Xenopus tropicalis: one gene and its partner. The protein of the gene in region 2 interacts with the protein of the main gene of each other region in a pairwise test. Links are inferred from orthologs where the notes say so. Each region holds a gene or a part of one and is shown on either strand. Other genes may lie near its edges.

Region 1 (3,827 bases), about 62 Mb from region 2:
ATGAAAATTAAAATTTAATTTAAGCTTTATTTTTTAGAGGGGTGTATTAGTGCTAACTCAAATAAATGACTCCAGCACAAACAAAATGTAGCAAAACAACTGAATCCGTCACGCATCCTGCATGAAGAGAGATAGGACTGCCTTTCCAGCCAGTTATTTTGAGAGTGAGCTCTTATACATCTTCTAGGCAAAAGGACCAACCTCCGAAACAATCTCCTGCAATAGGAGAGAATGAAGAGACACTGATTGCCGAAAGGGGGCAGTGAAGAGAAACGTGATTATTTCCACGCCCATACATCATTTTTTATTAATTTATATATTTAAAAAGTTTCTTATTTAACTGAGAAAATCTTATATTAAATTTTCATTTTTACAATAGATCCCCTTTTCTTTTTGATTTGTAGCTTGCATCATGTTTTCTGGAAACACATAGTGCAGCAAGATCATAGAGGGTTGTAAGCCAAGGGTTTAAACAGATTTTATATACCTGATTTAAATCTATCATGAAAGTAGATAGCCCAAGGGACACAGACTCAAGACTCTGAATACGGGTAAAGATGCCATCAACTGGTCCAATTTCAGCCTCTGCAGCTGGAACAAAACTTCCAATCATAGACATGAAGACTATGAGTCCAACCTATGAAACATAATTTTAAGTAGGAAATATATGACAGCTAAATAACCGTAGTAAAAACAGGGCTGATGGCTATGGGAAAAGGAACAAATTCAGAAAATATGAAGGGAGATGAATAAGGCAATATAGCAAAGCAGATTCATTTTCTAACACCAAATGATAAAAAATATTTTTTTTATGTATTTACTTATGGTTGGTATCAATTCATCTCCATGGCAAAACATAATAAAACAGCCTCCAGTCAAATATTATAAGCACAAAATTGTGAATTATTTGTTAAAAGTGCCACCCTGTTTCTAGAGAGAATGCCCGCCCAATAATATTACAAGGCAACAACATGAAAATTTCCAGCGTATATCCAAGTTAGTAATTAAATGTTTTCCACAAATCTCATCCTATCTGACTTGAAAGCTGGACTTGCAGGAGTATCTAGAAAGCAAACAGTCATTCCTATTTAATCAAAAGTAAAAGAATTGCTAGGTTTATGAGTCTCTGTATAGATTATAGAATTCTGTTTTTCCCTGCAGCTTGCAAAAATGTGAAAGCAAAGTTTAAGTCATTCACTCTTTTATGATGCTGATCACAAATATATGATGACAAAGATAGTTTTCTATATTCTTTATTCCTCTAAAGATATATTTCCCCATTAAGTTCTATAAATAAAGATGACATGATTAATAAATAATAATAATAATAATAATATGAAAACATGGTACCCCCTAGACAGACAGTGTATGCTAATTTGTAGCACAGAGCAAAGAGGTCTGACACACATCCCACTGATGTAACTTCAACCAAACAATTTAATGTTATTATCAACACATTCATATTTTCAGTTCAAAAGAAGCTGATGTCAGAGCCTTTGGGACAACAGGAAAATTTTATTTGGGCAAGATGTTTGTACTGGGTTTATATATTGTAATTTTAATATTTTATTGATCCGCTAGTTTCTCTTCGATATGCTCTGCCTGCCATGCCATTAAGGCAAGATCTCAGCCCTGTCCTTACCAGGGTATGACCAAGGTGCAGGCCAGGGTGCAAAGTGCAAATACTATGGTGTATAGAGGCCATTTTTATGCACTTAGCAATCTGTCATTAACTTAATGAATGACCCTCTTATGACTGTAGTCATTCAGATTGTAAACTATGTAGAACTGATCCAATATTATTAGTATATAAAGTGAAAATTACATTACTGTGTAATCCTGACATACATTCTGAGCAACCTTTCCATTTGAGTTGCAGCTGCATGTGATCATTCAGAGCCGTAATTATTAGTAGGGGAATTGCAAAAGCATCAACTCATACTACTTTCTGTTTGTTAGCTTTTTAGACAGTGTAATTTCTTATACGCTAATATTTTGCTCTCAACAGGTGCCTCATGCCCAACAGTAAGGCTATGAATGCAGAAATACCAAGTGCATGGTGCTGCTGAAAATTTTACAAAATCAATGCCTGTCTCAGTCTCACAATCTCTGAAACAGTAGCTGTTCTTCAGGGTTTCACTGCATACCCTGTGTAATTTTACCACTGCAAGTGAGATTTGCTTCTGAAGGCTCTGGTTGGTTTGCTGCTGCCCCCTACTGAATTGAATAACATTCACAAATTGTGAATAAATATATGCAATTTAATAATCATGCATTAGTGTACCCAAGACATAGATTGCACTAAGACTGAATAAAAATATTATTTATTTTAAATAAAGCAAAAAGATAAGAAAACAAAATCCTTAATGGTGGCAAGCCGGCTATTTTCCTGTACTTTATTAACATCAAAGAACTAAAGCAAAGATTGGGGTTTGTACTATACAAAGATGACTTTTTGATGTTTTTCCTCTTTCTATATCCTTATTTTTTTCATCACTTCCTTTGTTCAGTATTTCACAGTCTCTTGCCATTTTACCTGTTTTAGATACACACTCTTCCCACAAGAGTTTGGTCCAGTTATTATCTTGATTCTTTTCTCATTCTGCTTGCTGAGAGTTGAATTTGGAACAAAAGTTCCAGAGCAAAATACCATGAGAGGATGTCTATAAAAGATAAGAGGCACTGGGTGGGAAGAGAGAAGAGGCAGACAATAACATTTGGATTTGAGACTTTTTGATCAGCATAATAGGGTTGTTTTAGTTCTTACATTAAAGCAGGGCCAGAACTAGGGTTAGGCAGAAGAGGCACGTGCCTAAGGCTCAACAGTGTGGGGGTGCCTGCCTACCCTTAGTTCAGGCCCTCAAGTCCTGCACACTCTCCCTGTGCGCCATGCTTCGCCCCCAAACGACTGCTCATCACTCTGGCTCCCCCTTCTTTACTAAGCACTTTAGAAATTTACATCAACTTTCTATTTTTAGCAGATATTTGCACTTTTAGACTGCTAATACCTTGGCTCAAGAGAGAATCAGCAACCCTAGGGTTAACCGAATACAAGAAGGGCATAGACAATTAGGGTCGCAATGACTGCATCCAGTCTGTCTTTTATGTCAGTCAATGGTAGAAATCCTTCAGACTGTCAGCAGAAGGGTGCTGCTGAATGCCAAAAGACTCATGATCTAACTGATCTGAGAAATGGCAACTTAGTTAACAGGCCTCTCCTTGGCAAAGTGTACCCAATCAACCCCTTAACTAAGGCTTCCACTATGGGTTTTTTTATAGTGCTCAATATCTCACTTTAATCAAATTACTCAATATAAAAGGGGAGAGGGAGTAGTTTTAGGCAAAAACCAAACCATTTCCCAATGATTCTTTATAATGGAAAATATTTTTTTAAATGAAAAGAATAAGCAGGATTCATTTTCAATAAAGGTCTTTTTTTGCTCATGTATAACAAAGGTGTATAAAACTGCAACACATTGTAATATAACCTGGGACACATTGGTACCCAATCTAATTGATGCATGGAACAGATGTGCATGCATCTTACATAACCTTTATGTAACTTTTATGTCACTGCAATTATGATCTATAGTCTAGCTTCAAAATCTTTGTTTCCACTGAGTATAACAATATAAACCCAGGTGCTGTGGAAGATCATTTTTAGTGGGGTAGGCAGAAGAAAAGTTTTGCTGCTGTGTGCAGTTTTTCTTGCCTCTCACTTGCCTGCCCACCTAAAAATTAAAAACTGGGGCAGATAATTCTAGGAGGGCCACGCCCCCAATGACCCCCTGTTCTAATGCCTATGGAAAAACTACAAATTTAATTTG
Region 2 (3,827 bases):
ATTAGGAACAGCCTGCCCAGGATTATTTATCTATACACATCCGTTACTGATCTTCCTGCTGCCCACTGAGCTTGGATACAGACACACAAACGTGCGACATCTCTAAACTATAAATAGCACTTGGAGCTTGAGTAAAGGGCAAGTAAAGAGCGGCCCTCCAGCCGCTGATAAGCTGCAAATCCCAGTACTACAGGAAAGAAGTTTCTTTATAAGGGGGATGTGGTTTAACAAGGGCTGGAGATCCTGCGGATGTTACTTAACAAGAGCCAACAGTTGTCCTTAAATTAGGGCTACGCTGTGGTTAGCAGCTTGTAAAATCTATGGCACCGTCTGCCAAGGATCTGATTGCCAATGCTGTCTGGCCACATGTGGCAGGATCAAAAGGCACTCAGCATGCAAGGGGTTAACAAAAGCTCAAAGACCAGTGGTGTTGGTGGGGGTATTTAAGGGGATAGTGGTAGACCCGGACTGGCAATCTGTGGGTTCAGGCAAATGCCAGAGGGGCTGCTGTACGGTGCCATAGACAGTTGTTATTTATTTTGCTGGTGGGGGGGGCTGTTTGTGCCTCTGGGTACTGGGAATGCCAGGTCCTATTTTGGAATTCAAGTCCAGGTTTGGATAGTGGCACATTCTAGATTTTAAGAGGAATGTGCCACTATGGCTAGGTAAACCCTAATTGTTTCTTAGGTTTTCTATAGGTACCCCTCTTGGGTCGAACCATGACACATGTTGATGGAAAGCAGGCAGGATTCTGATAGGCTGGACTCACAATGCTGCTATACTTCTAACTGTGATGGGGATTGACATGGGAGCATGTTTGCTTCAGGAACACTACTATAGTTTATATAAATACCCCGCTGTGTAGCCCCGGGGGCAGCCATTCCTGCACTGGTACAGCTGGGGTGTTTGCTACAGAAACCCTACTATAGTGTATATAAATACCCTGCTGTGTAGCCCCGGGGGCAGCCATTCCTGCACTGGTACAGCTGGGGTGTTTGCTACAGAAACCCTACTATAGTTTATATAAATACCCCGCTGTGTAGCCCCGGGGGCAGCCATTCCTGCACTGGTACAGCTGGGGTGTTTGCTACAGAAACACTACTATAGTTTATATAAATACCCTGCTGTGTAGCCCCGGGGGCAGCCATTCCTGCACTGGTACAGCTGGGGTGTTTGCTACAGAAACCCTACTATAGTTTATATAATACCCCGCTGTGTAGCCCCGGGGGCAGCCGTTCCTGCACTGGTACCTATTACTGCCTTATTACGAGGGGGAATGTAGCTGGGCACCCAGGTTGCCGGCCCCTAAGACAATAGGGATCATCAGGAAGCATTGATTATAACACAGAAAGACAATGCAGGACAAGGAGAGGGATGGGGGGCGGCCAGGGCTCTAGCTGTTGGCAAGCTTATAAAGCAGAGCCAAAGGTTTCCCATTCCGGAATCACAAGACAGATTTGGTGACATTTCAGTGTAAATAACAAAGTCCTACATCAGCGCCCAATGCCCAGACCAAAAAATAAGAAAACTCCCATTAAGTTGCTGTCAGCTAAAAGATGGATTTTATTTTCCCGAAAGCTAATATTTTATATTTGCCTTTCTCTGGCTCAGTATCAGCAAGGTCCTTAGTGGGGCATTTTTTCAACCTCAGCATCTATGTTGCTAATAATGATCAACCTGTACTCTTCCTTCCCCAAGGCTGAACAAAGGATCATGGGAAAGGAGTGCAGGGAGGGCCCTAGACACTGGCTCCCCAGTCTTTCAACTTAAATTCACTTTCAGTATGATGTAGAGCGATATATTCCGAGACAATTTGCAATTGGTCTTCATTTTTTATTATTTGTAGTTTTTTTAGTTATTTCATTTTCAGTTCAGCAGCTCTCCAGTTTGGAGTTTCAGCAGCTATTTGGTTGCCAGGGTCCAAGTTACCTTAGCAACCAGGGAATGGTTTGGATGAGAGACTGGTATATTAATAGGAGGGGGAACGAATAAAAAAAGAAAGTTGCAAAAAATAACAATAACAATAAAACTGTAGCCTCACAGAGCAATAGTTTTTTTTATTTTTTGCTAATAGTTTCTGATTTCCTCTTCCTGCCCCAGGACCTGGGGTTTTTTGGATAAGGGATCTTTCTGTAATTTGGATCTCCATACCTTAAGTCACCTAAATAATTATTTAAATATCAAATAAACCCATAGGATCGTTTTGCACAATGCCATAATGGATCCCATTCCTGTATTATTCTTACTTTTAAATCCTTATATTTTTTATTCAGTCCCTCTCCTATTCATATTCCACTGCCTAGTTTCTAAGGTAAACAAGACCTTAGCAACCAGATAGCTGCTGAAATTCCACTGGAGAGCTGCTGAACAAAAAGCTAAATAACTGAAAAAAACACAAAAAAGAACAAATTGCAAATTGTCTCAGAATATCAATGTCTATGTCAAACTAAAGGTTAAGCTGAAAGTCTGATATTGGCATTATAAAACTGTTCAAAACCACTAAAACCAGTAAGTTCATGTGAACAGTTAAGCACATAGAGGAAAACTCTGAAGAACGTTACATGAGTTCATTTTTGGGTTTAGATCCTCTTTAAACTATCAGGAACCCACAATCTCATTTTAATTTGGTCCCCATAATCCCGCCTGCCCCAAAAAATTAAAAATGGGGGGGGTCAAAAAGTTGATCAATCCATTTTATTTGGGTCTCCTGTAAAAGGGGGGCAGTTAGAACACTTTAGAGTTGGACTGTGGTGTTTGGGGCCCACTAGGACCCAAGAGCCCATCACCCCCCACCATACCTGCACTTATGGTTGCCACAAACCAATCCCCTGCCCCGCAGATCTAGACTGGCAGGGGGACCAATGAAAGCTAGGGCCCAACTGGATTTTTCCCAGTGTACTACAGTTTCATTGTTCATTATCGTTCTTTTCAGCATTCTACTATTTATCTTCCAGCTTCTCATTCACCTCCACTGCCTGGTTGCTATGGTAAACTGGACCCTAGCAACCAGATAGCTGCTGAAAATCAAAACTGGAGAGCTACTGAGCAAAACATAAAAGAAAACAAAATGAAGACCCTATCTATATCATTCTTAAAGGCAAAATCATCAACAATTCACAGTGTTTTTCATTATTTGTCAATTCAGACAATGTTGTGCCCACAAGCAGATTGGCTGGCAGTGAGCACAGCATGAACAGACCCCCCCCCCCATACACATGCAGGTAGTTCTTACCTTTGGTGATGCTGAGAGTGTTGTCCCCACTGGCCACAAAGTCATACAGTGCAACAAAGAGGTTGGGGTCATTTTCACTTGGCCCGGACAGAAGATTCTCCTTGGAATTCCAACGCGCAGCTTCGCTCAGACCTTGAGGCTCGATGTCGGAAACTGTCGGTCTCTGCAAGGCTTCTGGGGAGCAAGCCAGGAGATGGAGCAGGAGGGGGAGAATAAAGAGAGAGAGAAGAGGGGAAAAAGTGTTAAAATTCCATGTATAAACGGCTAGCCATCTGTGTGTGCACTGGTTTTACGGCCCCGGTGCAACCGGTTTGTTTTTCAGGAGCCGAACTGCTGAATAGGATAACAGATGCGCTGTTTATGGTATGGGCCGGCGTGCGGGGTAAGGGGGCAGTCGGAAGCCAATGCCGACACATGACCCACTTGGAACTGCCCTATCTATAACAGAGTTGTATTAAAAAACCAGTAACACCAAAGTTGTTTAAAGTAAATTCAAATATAATGTACTGTTGCCCTGCACTGGTACAACTGGGGTGTTTGCTACAGAAATACTACTATAGTTTATATAAATACCCAGCTGTGTAGCCCCGGGGCA

Evidence for each region.
Region 1: the proteins of abl1 (region 2) and msh5 interact in binary tests that used the Homo sapiens proteins (3 or more experiments, as listed by UniProt). The link is inferred for Xenopus tropicalis from reciprocal best matches to the Homo sapiens genes ABL1 and MSH5.

Annotation. Positions count from the first base shown.
Region 1 is NC_030684.2:74,931,468-74,935,294, forward strand, and holds part of msh5 (mutS protein homolog 5), read right to left. Parts: intron 2,664-3,827; coding exon 2,537-2,663; intron 638-2,536; coding exon 488-637; intron 1-487.
Region 2 is NC_030684.2:12,813,119-12,816,945, forward strand, and holds part of abl1 (tyrosine-protein kinase ABL1), read right to left. Parts: intron 3,407-3,827; coding exon 3,233-3,406; intron 1-3,232. UniProt on the Homo sapiens protein: Non-receptor tyrosine-protein kinase that plays a role in many key processes linked to cell growth and survival such as cytoskeleton remodeling in response to extracellular stimuli, cell motility and adhesion, receptor endocytosis, autophagy, DNA damage response and apoptosis.